Linked DNA regions of Alligator mississippiensis. The protein of the gene in region 2 interacts with the protein of the main gene of each other region in a biochemical or structural test. Links are inferred from orthologs where the notes say so. Each region holds a gene or a part of one and is shown on either strand. Other genes may lie near its edges.

The links. The genes of interacting proteins can lie anywhere in the genome.
Region 1: the proteins of cyclin-dependent kinase 4 inhibitor B-like (region 2) and SERTAD1 form a complex in vitro, tested with the Homo sapiens proteins (2 studies listed by BioGRID). The link is inferred for Alligator mississippiensis from reciprocal best matches to the Homo sapiens genes CDKN2A and SERTAD1.

Annotation. Positions count from the first base shown.
Region 1 is NC_081838.1:2,495,846-2,502,930, forward strand, and holds SERTAD1 (SERTA domain-containing protein 1), read right to left. Parts: upstream 2,716-7,085; 5' UTR 1,898-2,715; intron 1,506-1,897; 5' UTR 1,502-1,505; coding exon 614-1,501; 3' UTR 521-613; downstream 1-520. Other genes in the region: BLVRB (flavin reductase (NADPH)), read right to left, coding at 3,453-3,616, 3,689-3,820, 3,974-4,063, 4,144-4,305, 5,258-5,339; SPTBN4 (spectrin beta chain, non-erythrocytic 4), read left to right, coding at 5,799-5,837. UniProt on the Homo sapiens protein: Acts at E2F-responsive promoters as coregulator to integrate signals provided by PHD- and/or bromodomain-containing transcription factors. Stimulates E2F1/TFDP1 transcriptional activity.
Region 2 is NC_081826.1:175,523,290-175,531,032, reverse strand, and holds the start of cyclin-dependent kinase 4 inhibitor B-like, read right to left. Parts: upstream 3,033-7,743; 5' UTR 2,941-3,032; coding exon 2,812-2,940; intron 1-2,811. UniProt on the Homo sapiens protein: Acts as a negative regulator of the proliferation of normal cells by interacting strongly with CDK4 and CDK6. This inhibits their ability to interact with cyclins D and to phosphorylate the retinoblastoma protein.

The sequences.
Region 1 (7,085 bases), on a different chromosome or scaffold from region 2:
GAGGCGACCTTGCGGCTGCCTATAAGTTCATCACCGGGGCACAGAAGGGAATTGGTGAGGATTTATTCACCAAGGCGCCCCCGGGGGTTACAAGAAACAATGGCCACAAGCTAGCAGAGAGCAGATTTAGACTGGACATTAGGAAGAACTTCTTCACGGTTCGAGTGGCCAAGGTCTGGAACGGGCTCCCAAGGGAGGTGGTGCTCTCCCCTACCCTGGGGGTCTTCAAGAGGAGGTTAGACGAGTATCTAGCTGGGGTCATCTAGACCCAGCACTCTTTCCTGCTTATGCAGGGGGTCGGACTCGATGATCTATTGAGGTCCCTTCCAACCCTAACGTCTATGAATCATCTATGAATCTATGAAAACTCGGCCACAAGGGGGCATGTGCCCCTGACTCGCTTCCTGCCTCAGTTTCCCTGTGGTCTCCCCCCACCCAAGACCTGGGGCAACACCCAGGCATCTGGGCTCCCAGCCCCCCAACTTTGCCCCAGCACCAGGTACAAGAGGCAGGAGCTGACTCAGACATTAACCATTTCATTGCCTGCGGCTCTGCAGCCTGGGGGGGGCAAACTGCCCAAGACCCCCCCGGCCTGCCAGGCCTGGGAGCGGGCTCAGAGCCCCCGTGGGCCCACCAGCACATCCATGAGCAAGTCCAGGTCATTGATGTCCAGGCCCCCGTCCTCAGGGCCCGGCGCCGCCTCGTCCTCGCCCGGCGCCGGCGCCAAGGCCTTGAGGCCGGCAGGTGCCCACAGCTCGCCGTCATACATGGAGGTGTCGATGTCCTCGAAGACGCCCTCCAGCCCCTCGTCCGGCAGAGGGGCCAGCAGTGCCCGTGCCCCGCACTCTGCGCCCCACAGCGCCGGGACCAGGCTGCCCGCCGGCTCCAAGTCCCCCAGGAGCCCCGAGACGGACGAGCCGAGCGAGACGTCCAGGCTGGGGAGCAGCATGGCAGGCCCTGTGCCGAGAAGGATGCCAGAGCTGTCCAAGGGGGCGCTGGAGCCGTCCAGTGGGCCCGTGGGCCAGTCTGGGAGGGCGCCGGAGCTGTCCAAGGGGGCGCCAGAGCCCTCCAGTGGGCCCATGGGGCAGTCTGGGAGGGTGCCGGAGCTGTCCAAGGGGGCGCCGGAGCTGTCCAGAGGGCCCGTGGGGCAGTCTGGGAGGGCGCCGGAGCTGTCCAAGGGGGCGCCGGAGCCATCCAGTGGGCATGTGGGGCAGTCTGGGAGGGCGCCGGAGCCATCCGGCGGGGCGGCGGGGCAACGTAGGACAGTGCCAGGGGGCTCGGGCGCCGCAGCCTCCGTCTGCATCTGGTCCTGGAGGCGCCGCAGGGCGTTGGTCACGAGCACCAGGGGCCGCAGGTCGGGCTCCACGTGCCGCAGGCTCCGGTGCAGCTTGACCACGGACAGGCTGAAGAGGGAGGTGGCCGGGGCGGCGGGGGACGCGGGGGCATCCGGCCCTGCGCTCTCTGCGGTGCCGCGCTTGCGCTTGACGCCCTTGTTCAGCATGGCGCTGCGAGGGAAGGGGAGACTCAGCACCGCGCCGCGGGGGCTCGGGCACAGGGGGCGGGGCCGGACACCCGGGTTTTTTCCTGCCTCCCCGCCCCGGTCTCGCGGCTCCCATGGACCCAGGCTGCAGGTGCCATCACTGAGGCCCGGAGCAGAGGGCTCCCCCCCACCCCTGTGCCTCAGTTTCCCCACCCCGGTCCTGCCCGGCGCCGGCGAGGCGGGGGCGGGGCGGTGAGTCAGGCCGGCCCCGCCCCCCCGTGAGTCACCGCCCGCGCTCCCTCCGCTCCGCTCTGCTCCGCCCCGCCCCCGCGCCCCGGTCCCGGCCCCCCCCCGTCCCGGCCGCCCCCCTCCCCTCCCCGCAGCGCAGCCCCGAGCCCGGGACCCTCATTTACATACCCGCTCCTCAGGGGCCAATCCGCGGGGCCTGGAACGCGGCGCGCAGCCAATCAGGAGCCGGCATCCCCCCCTCCTCTCTTCCCCCGCCCCCCTCCACCGACCCGGCGCCGATCCTCGCTGCCGCGGCACGCCCGGCCCCAGCCAATGGGCGGGGCCAGGCCAGGAAAAGGGCGGGGCGCGGGCCAGCCAATCGGAGCGTGGGGCTGGGGGGCTTATTTGCATTCCGTGGGCGGACGGGGGAGAGTCAAGGAAAGGGGAGAGGAAGGAGCGCGAGGCCCCGCCTGCTTCTGCCTGATAGGTGGAGGCGAGGGGGATTCATTTGCATAGTGGGGGGCTGACGTCAGCGGCTCCCCGCGGCGCGTGGGGGGAGATGAGTGTGTCCGGTCTCAGCTCACAGCAGCCGCCAATAGGCGGGGCGGGGGTTGGGGCTCCGGCCTCCCCCGAGCCTGGCACCCCCGGGCACCCCTGTGCCAGGCGGGTAGCAGAGGAAGGGCTGCGGCGAGGAACCGAAACCGCAGCACGCCCTGCTACGCCCGCCTGGCGCCCAGCGGCCCAGGGGGTGCAGGGAAGGGCCCCCCGCCGCAGGCAGGTGTTGAGGCCTGGGCCTGGGCACGTGGCCCCTGAAGCGGAGCAGGGCCTGGCACGGCCACGGGTCCTGACCTACGCCTGCACCCCCCGGGGGGCCCAGAGGGAGCCCGGGCTTTGCCCCTGCCCCCCAGACCTCGTAGTGACCGCGGAGGCGGACGCAGACCCTGCAGCTCCCCGACTCCCTCGCCTCCACCCCATGGGCCCCGCTGCCCTCTTCCACCCAGCCATTCCCAGTCCCGATCCCCCATGACCTCTGCCCCCCCATGGTTGCCCCTGCATCACATGGTGCCCCCCATGACGTCCCTGCCCTGCACGGTGCCCCCCGGGACCCCGATCCCCCATGACCCCTGACCCTCCACGCTGCCCCTGCCCCGCCTGGTACCACCCCATGGCCTGTGCCTCCCATGGGGCAGCTCCCCCATCACCCCTTCATGGTGCCTCCTCTTTCCTGCCCCCCCCAGCCCTGCTCCCTGATTGGAGCTGGCGCTGCCATGGGGATAAAGCAGCCTGCAGATCCCAACATGTCCCAGGTGGAGGGGGGGGGGGCAGAGTGGGGGGGCTCAGCGCAGGGCATGCTGGGACATTTTGGCCTCCTGCCAGGCCCCCTCCTCCCCTGGTGGGGCTCAGCAGCCCTTGTGGGGTGGGAATGGGAACCGGGACGCCTGGCAGGCTGCGGGGTCGGACTCGGACCTGGATGCCCGGGTTCTCCCCAGCCCAGTGGCGGAGTGGGGGCAGTGCCTCAGTTCCCCCAGATGGCAGGTGCATCACCCGGCTCCCTTCTTCAACCCCCCCAGGCTCCCTGCTGCACGTGGGCAGCTCCCGCAGGGAACCCAGGTGTCTGGGCCAGGCCGGGAGGGGGGGCGTCAGGCCAGGCAGGTGGAGAGCGGCTGGGAAAAATCACTGCGGTTTAATCATCCCGGGAGCGTCAGGCGCCGGAGCAAGCAGGGTGGGCAGCCGGGGGCCGGGCTCACTCCTTGGGGTAGTGGCGGGAGAGGTAGACGTTCTTGCCGTCGTACTGGGCCGTGCTCAGGCACTGCAGGAAGAAGTGGCCCAAGTCGTGCTTGGAGATGACGCGGGAGCCGCTCGCTGCGTTCACGGTCACCGTGTAGTCCCCGGTCAGCGGCTGGTCACCTGCGGGGGCAAGGGAGGGTCAGCAGGGGGGTCCCCATCGCTGCCCCCCTCCCCCCCAGCCCCGGCACACACCGGCGATGTGGGGCGGCATGACGGAGACGCAGTCCAGGCCCGAGTCCTGCAGGATGCGGTGCATGCGGATGTGGTCGTCGGTCACGGGCTGCAGCCTGGCCGGCACCTTGGCCGGGTCCCACATCAGGAAGGCTGCGGACAAGGGGCCACCCGAGCTGTGAGCTGCGGGCACCCGGCTCCGAGCCCCTGATGGGAGCCAGGAGTCTGGGCCCCCAGCCCTGCTGCACCCCTTGATCCCACCCCACCCCACCCCCTGGCATTAACCCCTGGCAGCCCAGAGCTCACCCGACAGGCACGCGACCACCTTGCGGATCCCGTGGGCCTTCATGGCAGTCACGATGTTCTTGGTGCCCTCGGACATCATGGTGGTGGGGCCTGGGGGGCAGGAGGCGGGTCAGGGGGCAGGAGACGGGTCAAGGGGGCAGGGGGCAGGGGGCAGGGGGCAGGGGACGTACTGAGGTCATTGCGGGTGCCCAGGATGATGATGACGGCGTCCTGCCCCTGCACAGCCCGGTCCACGGCGCTGGGGTCCAGCACGTCGCCCACCACCACGTGTGCTGGGTGCAGGTCCGGGGGCAGCCGCGCTGGGTCCCGCACCAGCACCGTCACCTGGTAGCCTGAGGGGGGAGAGCGGGTGAGCGTGGCCCGGACACCTGGGTTCTCCCCCGGCTCTGGGGGGGGCTCCCGCTCCCGTGGCTCAGCGCCTGTCTCGCTTTTGTGCCGCCCATGCCAGCTCCGGGTCTTGGCTGGCACCCGGCCCAGGCAGCAAGGGCCGGGGTGGCTGGGTGCCCAGCTGCCTGTTGGCGCCCGCTGGGCCCAGCGTGGCGCTGAGGTTAGGCCCTGGATTGGCCCGTGCTCCAGCTATGGGCTCACGCCCCCGGCTCGGGCATGTGGCAGGCGAGCAGCTGGGGACACGTGACCATGACTCAGCACCCTCCCAGCTGGGACCGTGACTCAGCAGAAGCCACCCTGGCGCGTGGGGACCTCAGTGGCCCTGGGCTGGCCCCTCTTGGCCAATGCCAATGGGGTTTGTACAGCACCTGGCACCCCGAGCCAGTGCCCTGCTCCAGACGATTGCACTGACCCACCTTTTGGCCACCCGGTGCCAACCAGCCCCCAGGCGCCCCAACCTGGTGGTGCTGGGGCCCTGATCCCGGTTGGGGTCTGGGTGGCACCAACACCCGATCCCCAAGCACCGCTGCTGGCGGGTCACGGTGGCACAGCGGGGAGGGGACCCAGGCGTCCGGGGGGCAACAGCAGAACTATCTCTGCTGGACGTGCCCAGGGCAGGGCGTCCACCAGTAACGGCCTTGCTTATCTCCCCACGCCATGCGCCGTCCACACCCCCCTGGCGCGGGCTCGGGGGCTCCTGCAGCTACCCCTGGCGGGGCCCGGGGCATCGGGGGGCCCATCCAATGCCCCCTCCCTGCACCCCCTGGGGCTACGTCTGGGTGTCCCTCCGTCAGCTGCCCCCCTGGGGGTGCTCGGGGCTTCTGCCCAGGGGGCAGGGGCTCTTCTGCCCCCAGCGCCCCGGGGGTTGGCTCGGACCCCCCGCGCCGCCCGCCCTACCGGCCTGCAGGGCTTGCGCCAGCGTGGCCAGCCCCGTCATGCCCGTGGCCCCGAAGATGACGATGTTCTTGCAGGTGGCCATGCCGGCGGTGCGGGTGCCTCTGTCACTCGGGTGTCCCCGCCGCGGGCCCTTCCGCGCGCTCGGTGCTGCGAGCTCCACCCAGAGGGGCCGGGCACCCGCAGGGCCGGCCCCTGCCAGCTGATGCAGCCGGTGCTGGGGAGGGGAGGGCGGCCGGGTGCCAGCCCTGCCCTTGCGGCTCCCACCTGGGCCTGGGGACGGCCCCCGCCTGCCTGAGTGTGCAGAGAGCCTGCACCCCGCAGCACCCTGGGGGCGGGGCCGGGCAGGGGGCGGGGCCGGGCACCCCGGGGACCCCGGTTCGGGTCCCGGCCCCCCCGGCTGACCCGGATCGCGGGGAGCGGCCGGCGCAGGACCCGGGGGGGCGGCGAGGGGGCTCTGCCCGGGGATTGGCTGCCGCGGCCGGCGGCGCTGACGAGCGGCGGGGCCGGGCCGGGCAGGCGGGCGGAGCCGGCGCATCCCTGGATGCTGCAGCCCGGAGCCGCGACCGCGCCCGCGGCCCCGGTGAGACACGGGGGGGGGGCTGCGTGTGCGTGTGTGTGCGTGTGTGTGTGTGTGTGTGCGTGCGCGCGCGTGTCTGTCTGCATGGCTGTGCATGGGTACGTGTCTGCACGGGTGTGCCCGTGGCCATGGGTGTGTGTGCATGCGCGTGTGTGAGAGCGTCTGGGTGTGTTTGTGCATGGGTGTGCATGACTGTATTGTGTGCGCGCATCTGTATGCATGCATGTGCGCCAGGGGGGAGGCGTGTGTGTGCATGGGGGCGCGTGTGTGCATGCGTGCCATTGCACATGGGAGCAGGTGCACATGTGTGTGTGCGTGTCGACGTGCCCTCTCCCGTGGCAGCGTGCCCCCCTGTGCAGGCGTATCCTTGCATGCACCCACACATATCCTTGCCCGTGTGTGTGTGTGTGTGTGTGTGTGTGTGTGTGTGTGTGTGTGCAGACCCATGCATCCCTGCCTGGGGAGAGGGGGGCCTGTGGGCCTGCACACGTGTGTGCATGCATGTGTGAGCCCCCCGCGGAGGGCAGCACCCTCTCCTGCTACCCCCCACTTGGGGCGCTGGAGCCGGGGCCTGGGCTGCCCGTCCCTGCCGCTCCCTGCAGGCCGGGGGGGCAGCAGAGGCCCCGGAGCTGGAGCCAGGTGGTGGCTGGGGGGGCTCCATGCTGCGCCGGGTGTAGGCCCAGGCCTCCGAGCTGTGATGGGGGGGGGGGGCTGTGTCAGCTGAAGGTGATGGGCAGGGAGCCAGCCTTGGCTGGAGGGACAGACCGGGGATGCCGGGGCTTGTCCTGCGGGCAGGGGCTGGAGCTGCACCCTGGGCTCCCGGGCACCCCCTCCCAGCTGCCGGGGCCGGAGCAAGCCCCAGCCCCAGGAGGGAGGCTGGAGCTCCATCCATCTGGCTGCAGCCGCGGCCTGGTCTCCACCGTGCTGCCCAGCGCGTGTACATGTGGGCACAGACGTGCACGCGAGTGAGCCAGGGTGGAGGCTCATGGATGCTCTTTTTGCAGGGCACCAAGGGTTAATACCCCACCCCGGACACCTGCCTTTTTCCTGCTGTGCCGGGGTCCGGGTCTGTCTGGGGGTCCCTGGAGCCTTGCGGGGGCTGGAGGGGGTGGGAGGCCCCTGGGATGCCCCAGTTACCTCTGGGGGGTATGCAGGTGCACGTGTGTGTGCATGGGCATGCATGTATGCTCCCGTATGCGTATGCATGTGTTTGTATGTGCATGCATGTGTACATGGGTGCATCTGCGCATG
Region 2 (7,743 bases):
TCATTGCACTGTATCCTTCGCTATGCCGACCGTTTCCTTTGTTAACTGAGGAGGGAACGAGAACCAGATCATGTGCTCCCTTTAAAACCAGTCAGACTTTCCTCGCCCCCGAAAAAAGGGGGGCAAGGAGAAGAAATCAAATCCTGGGGCAATCCTCCGCCGATATGAAATTTCCTAACTCCGGTTGCTTTGAAGATATTTTCCCCCGGTGAGCAGCACATTTTAAAATATTTTTTAAATTTAAATTTCTTTAATTTTAATGAATTAATTAGTTGCAATTTTTTATTTTTAATAATTTATTTTTTTAGAATTGTATTATACACTATATTAAATATATGTATATAAATATAACACTGATATGTGCAGTTGTTGGACAATAATAGGGACCAATAATATATATATTAGAATATATATATATAATATGTATATGATTAGTCCCTATTATTGTCCAGTATCTGCAAATATCAATGTTATATAGTGTATAGTACAATTCTAAAAATATTACTGATTATATAATAATATTATTTAAAATTATGATATATTATTGGTCCCTTATTATTGTCCAGCCTCTGCAAATACCAATGTTTTAGTACAAGGGGACATTTTTTCCTGTAAGTTTAGTAGACAGTAGGCCCCCAGCCCTGCAGTACGTAAGCTAGATCTGTTTTCGCTAGTGCCCGCATGGGAAACTTCTTGGGCTAAACGAAATGGAGATCGCCTATTGAGAAAGGATTGCTCACTATCCACGGGATTATCGTCTCTGACAATGGGTAATCGTTGTGACCCTGTCAGGGCAGTCCCTATTGGGGGTGGGGGGGAGGCGAATCGGGGCGACTGCCCGGGGCCCCACGCCTTGGTGGGGCCCGTGGACAGTGCAGTACAGGCCCTGCCGCGGCCGCCACGCACCGCCGGCTCTACCACCGCCGAGCATTGCTGACTCCTGCAGTTCGCCACTCCCTGCCCCGCACATCCTTAGGGACTGCTCTGGACCCTGTCGCTATCATTTGTGTACTGCGCTCGAGCTCAGAATCTATCTCGTTCAGCCTGGGCATTAGTCCTTTCAGCGACTCATGGAAATAGGCTTTTGTAAACAGAAGCGTGTGTAATAAATACATAATAATATAAACTATACTAAATTAAATCGATATTGTTAGACTTCTATTATTGTCGGGTATATGCAAGTATCAGTGTTTTAGTGCAAAGGGTATAGGTTGTAGTCATCCATGCTGGTCTAAGGACATAGGGTGAAGAGTTGGAGAAATTCTTCTTTCTCTGGCTTGCAACAGAAAAATTTCTCCAACTATTTTAATTGGTCTAATAAAAAATATCAGATTTACCCAAAGATCCCTGTCTGCCTTAGTGCAAAGGGGACTAATTTTTTTTTCTCAGTTAGGTAGCCAAATAATTAAATAGTATAAGGTCGTTAATAAAAGGAATCCAGGAAAAAGTGTTTTTGTTCTGTTTTGGTTTGTTTTTTGGGGGGGTATAAGTCGAGACAGCATACACTTCTATTTTTTATTTTGAGGAAGAATCCATTTTCTTAACTGGCTGCCTCACACTTGCTATTTGAAACAAATAGAACTGTACTAATATTGCAATTTCTTTATATGATTTGATTTACATAACTTTTAACATGCACAAATCCCCATTTTAAACAAAATAATGTATTTGACACTTAATGCTGCCTTAAATACCTTGAAACCTAAACTTTTTTGTAACTACATTCTGAGAGAGAGAAAATTTGAATACAGGTAATGGAATATTATCTTTAAATATTCATTTAAAAGGTACATATAAATAACATGGACATTTTGCATGCCTTTTTTTCTGGGCAGGTTACATTTTAAATGGCTAAAACTCTTTGTAAAAGCTTACCTGCATGGCAGCTATTTTGTGTGCCAACCTTTTTATTAATTAAATGGCAGTAGCTTCTCTTCCCAATCTCAAATACAGGTTGAGAGAAAACTATAGGGTGGATCTAAAATCTGAACCTACTTGGAAATGGACTCTCTCTCTCTCCCCCCACATGTGTTTTTTTATTACTTTCCTTTCCAAGAGTAATAAAGAGAAAAGAACGATGCATCTTGTCTGTAGGCTACCAAAATTATTCCAGAGTCAGTGGCTGATTTATGCCCAGTTCAGCCTGGTGTTTTGACACTGGGTTGGGGATTGAAAACAAAAAGAAACAACCCCCTCCCCTCCCCTCCCCCCAAAAAAACAACCAACCCCCCCCAAAACAAAAAACCCCAACAACTAGAGGCACCACGTTTTTCTCTGCAATCACTCTTTGTGCACCAAGACAATCTAATTACTTAATTCCTTGAATTTTTACAGCTTTGTTTTTCAAACCTTCTGCTCTCTATATCTCTGCCCTCTTACCCGGGCGCCGTTTCTAGAGAACAGTAATGCAGCCTTGCACGCCAGTGTTATCAAGAGGATTGAAAACAAACGAAAACTAAAAAACACCAGCAACAAAAGTGTCCCCCCCGCAAAAAAAAAAAAAAAAAAAAAAAAAAAAATCCACCAAGGGAAGAAGAGAAGAGAAATGGAAGACACGGGGCCCCGGGACCAGGGGAACGCACATGCCCCTTCCAGCTGCCTGCGCAAGCAGCCGGAACTCCCCCCTTCCCCCACTCTCCTGGGGGACCAGACGGATTAGGATTTGCTAAACCCGGGGTGGGGTCCCCTCTTCAACCCAGATTTCTCTCCGACGTCTCCCCGCGATTGATTCACCCCCCAGTCCCAGCGCTGTGAAACCCAGGTGCAGTTAGCCGGCTCCCCCGCGCTCAGCCGCCCCCGCGGGGAGGCTACCTGCAGCGCCGTGCGGCCGAAGCTGTTCTGGGCGTCGGGGGCCGCGCCCGCCTCCAGCAGCGCCTGTACTGCCGCGCAGTCCCCCCGCGCCGCGGCGCTGGCCAGCTGGTCGCCCGGGCTCGCCGCCATGTGCCGCCAGCCGGCAGCCCCCACGCCCCCTCTCTGCTGCTGCCGCAGCCTGTAAGCTCGTAGCCCTTCCGTTTCCACCGGCCGCCCTCAGTCCCGCGGGAAAGGGGCGGGATCTTCCCCTGCTCCCGTGCTCAGCCCCCCCAGCCCCGCCACCCCGCGTCGGCTCGAGGGCGCGCACGGCCCTGAGGGCTGCAGCCGCTGGGTGGAGGTGCGCTGCCACCAGCCCCGGCGCAAGCGCCTGCCTGGCCATCCGGAGCGCGCAGCGTGGGCGCGGGCTGCCTCGCGGGGACGGGGGATAGGGCAGGAGGTGTAGGCTGAGCAGCGCTGGGTACCAGGCCCGCGACCATACTACCAGCTTTCCTTCGGCCCCAGGAAAAGTGTCTTGGGCCCCTGCTGAACACGCCAAGAGCAAAGGCTGGCCGCCACTGCGCCCTTGCCTATGGCAAACCCTGCCCAGGCGCCTCATCTCAACGCCAGCTCGGGGGGATGGGAGATGCCACTCAGCTGTCGGGCCCGCGATTCACGAAGGACGTGGATCTCTTGGAAAAAGCCCAGCAGAGAGACAACAGTGGTTCGGGGCCAGGGGGGCAAGGCTTCTGAGAAAAGCTTGAAGGAGCTAGGGTTCTTGATTCCGCAGAAGAGAAGAGCGGGGGGAGGGGCGATTTGAGAACAGTCTCCAAATACCTGAAGGGCCTTACAGAGAAGATGGGGAGGGATTTTTCCCTCTGGCTCTAGCTGTAGGGGACTGCACTAGGAGCAATGGCCTCAAACTGCAGCATGGGAGATTTAGGATGGATAGTAGGAAAACCTTTGGGACTCTGAGGGTGGTCAGGCATTGGAATAGACTACTTAGAGAACTTGTGGAATCTCCTTGCTTGGAAACTATTAAGAGTAGGTTGGACTGACACTTAGGAGGGATGGTTTAGTCGGGACTGGACAGACACCTTGCTGGGATCATTTGAACTCAGCACTATTCCTGTCCACAGCAGGGGGTTGGACTCGATGATCTTTAGGTCCTGTCCAAGCCTTAATTTTTATGATATGATTCTATGATATGATATGACCAAGCCTGCCTTGTGATCCCTTCCAGCCCTACTTTCTTAATATGTTTTAATACTCTAGTACCGAGCATCTCCCAACATTACCATTAAAATAAGCACCATTATAGGTGGGATCCTGAGATTCCCCTTCTGGGCTGGTCTGAACAGAGCTGTACAGTGTCCGAGTAGATAACCTCTGGAAGTCTTCTTTCCTTTCTCTCTCTCTCTCCCCCCCCCCCCCAACTTTTTTGATTCAGGCAACTATATAAAGCAAAATCGGAAACAAAGAGGAACATGCAGGAATTCGAATGAGGTTGAAGCTGTAACATCATTACAAAAGAAATAATACAAAACAATTCCTATAAATTATCACTACTATCAATATCGTGGTGTGTGTGTGTATGTGTGTGTGTGTGTGTGTGTGTGTGCGTATGTGTGTGGTCATTAATTAATTTTCAAAGAATCTGACTAGAGACTAGCTTACTGGGTGGTAATTTTTTGCCCTCAGCAATAGAAATAGATCAGTATAGGTTGGAAATAGAACCCATATTTTGAAATATCTATTCCTTCTTTGTCTTAGGCTGGTAATCTAATTTGATATGACAGTTTGTCCAACAACAACACATCCTATATTTTAGGTTAGCACATTATGGGGGAGAGGAAGAGGGGATGGTTCCTTCCACATATAAGCCATCTGTAATCTAGCTAACGACTTTTACTGGGGCATTCAAATGACAAACCAGTGGATTCAAAGAATTATTACCACCCACCTCACTAGTAACTTCCCCCTTCCACCCTCCCCCCCAGAATATTTGTACATTTGGACACAACCATAACATATGGAAAAAGGGACCTCTTTCTCTTTAGTTTCTCCAACATGATGCATCACCATTAGAAAATATGTGTTGGATTCTAGTTGGAGATAGGTCTCATCTTTGGAGTATTTTATAAAAGGCTTTTTTTTTTTCCTTTGGAAAGCATATATGGAAAATGAACACCTCTGTCCCCAAATTTCTCTTCAGTGCTCTAGCTCAGTTTCTTTCCTCAGGTCTCTTTCACAAGCCTTCATTTGTTTAGTCTTCCTAGCCATCCCTTTCTCTATTAAAATTGCATATATAAGATTAACTCTTTTTTTCTTGAGTCCACAATATGTCAGTTGCTCAAAGGGAGTATGCTTTTCTATTTATTTTTTAAATAAAATTCCTAATGTGAGGATACTGAAAAAAGGACTCATTTCCATTAGGGTTATCACAGATTCCTTTATTTTATAAGATCTCATAGCCTCCTCCCAAAAGCATTTGCCTAACTGGAGAATACCCACCCTGACCCAAACTGAGGGTATGTTTATACCAGATGCCTTAATGTACCCTGAACTGTTCTACTGTGCATTAGCACATTGCAGCAAAAACTAATATGCAGTAGAATTAGTCTGCTGTGCATTGAGCATCACAAAAAAAATGCCTTTGCTACCCTGCATTAGTGCTGCTACTGTGCCTTTATCTAGTACCTCATATTAGAGGTACTAAACTTAATGCAGTAGGAAAGGCACATTAATGAATATATAGACATGCTAAGAATTGCATTTTTGATCAGTTCTAGGGAGGAATTCTTTGGACAGTTAATGGGGAGGAGTGTGGGGAAAGCAACTTTTCACACACCAATGTATATCTTTCAACTGGGCTGCATGATAATATGCCATTATGGTGGGCACTGCAAGATCTTCCATTTTAGAAGGCCTGTGTATAACTGATGTGCTTACGCTTGGCCTCTTACTTTTACAGGCAAAATTCAGGAGAAAAGTTTGTGAAGCCTTTAATGTACTCCTTGGCATACATATAGTTAAGCTTTACAACAGTAAAGGAATTTTTGGGATATATATTTATTTTAAAAGTGGTTATTCTGTTTCTCCAAGAAATATCCATCCCCCATCCCCCTCCATTTTCTGAGGGGTTTTGTTATTTTAGACCAGACTGGCAAATAATTGGTGATAAAAAGTTTCTTGTGCTTTACTGTAAAGTTAATACCCAGGCATCTTATTGAATTTTAACCCAATTAAATGCATATAGTTTTTCATATATACATTTATATAAGCTTAAGTTTCTCAGAAATACCATGATCTAACATTTCTGATTCTTCATAATTATTTTTTTATCCATAAAAAGAGACAAACTTACATGCCTGGAATACTATTGCTTTTAAGGAAAAAAGAGGGTTTTTTACAAAAAGGAGTGCATCATCTGCATACAGAGCTCTATTAAGTTTCATCCCTGTGTCCTAAAAAGCCTCTAACACATGGTCACCTGTTAAGGAAAAAAACTTCTTGCCTAGGTTTCAAAAGAAAGTTTTTAAGAAGTTCAAACTTTGGTTCACATGCAGTTCAGGCAGGCAAAGAAAAGTAAAAAAAATCCATGTTCACCTTGAAATTTTTATTCTATTACCTGGCCAATTTCAGAAGCTTATTAAAGAAGGCTAGTGAATACAGAAATATGGTTGATAGGTTATATTCTAATTCAGCGGTTTTCAACCTATTTGCCATAGTGGGCCACACATGCAGCTTTCAACATGTTATATGGGCTACACCCCACAGCTAAGGGGGCCCCCAGCTGCCAGGGCTACAGAAACCAGGGCCACGGCCTGTAGCCCCCTATCCCGCCCCCCCATCAGCACCCAAGCCCCGGAGGCCTCCCATGGGAGGTGGTGGTTGCTGTGGCCAGAGTGGAGCATGCAGTTCAGCTCTCTGCCACTCCCCCCCTCCCCCACTGTGGGCAGCACAACTGAAATGAAGCCCATTGCGGGGAGAGGGGAGGGAGATATGACCTGCCTATTGTGGGCTCAGGGCTTCTGCAGCTCAGTGGGTGGGCCCTGGAGGGGAGGCTCAGTGCCATGGCTGGGAACAGCATGCTGGCCTTGCCACCATGGTGAGGCAACCCTGCCCACCTGGCAGCAGCAGCAGCAGCATGGAGTTGTGTCCCCCAGCTGTTGCTAGGTAGGCAGGGGGTGGCTTGCCATGGTGGTGTCGCCAACATGGGGCTCCCTGAAGTGGCATTGAGCTTCCCCACCCCACTCTGCTGCGGAGGCCCCTGGGAGAGGGCAGCAGGGTAGGGAGCCCCAAGCCTGCAGCTGGCAGTTCACATCTACCCCACCCCTGCACACAAATCCAGGGGGCATGTGCCCCCCCCTTCCTCTCTTCCTGGGATTATGCGCAGCAGCAGGGAGCCCCCCCCCCTACCCCTCACTGGGCCCTGTGGCTGCACATTTCTATCTTGGTCCTGGACCCCATGTACCACTTCAGCTGGGCAGTGACCACAGCCCATCCCAGCCCTGTCCTGCCCTGTCTTACTTTAATCCCTCTCTCCCTCCCTCACTGTGGGGGCCTCAGTTCCTCCCCCTCCCCCCCACTTCCCTGCATAGACTTACCGGGAGGGAGCTGAAGGAGCTGCTCTCCATGCTGTCTGCCCCATGCATGTGTGCCACTTGCCTCTGATTGCTCTCCTCCTGCTCTTCCCAGCCCCAAGCAGCTCCTTGCAGGTGGGAACTCTGTCAGCCTCCAAGGGGAAACCTGCCATTTTCCATGTTTTTTCTCCCTGACTCTAACAAACAGGTACTAATTAAATGTGCAATAACTGGAGCTACTGCCCAGTAGCACCAGTGCACACTTTTTAAGTGATGCAAATATTCAGTAGACTAATTCTACTGTGTGTTAGTGCATTAACAAGGTGCAGCAGGGCTGGGGCTGCTGCAGGGACATTTTCTTATAAAGTTT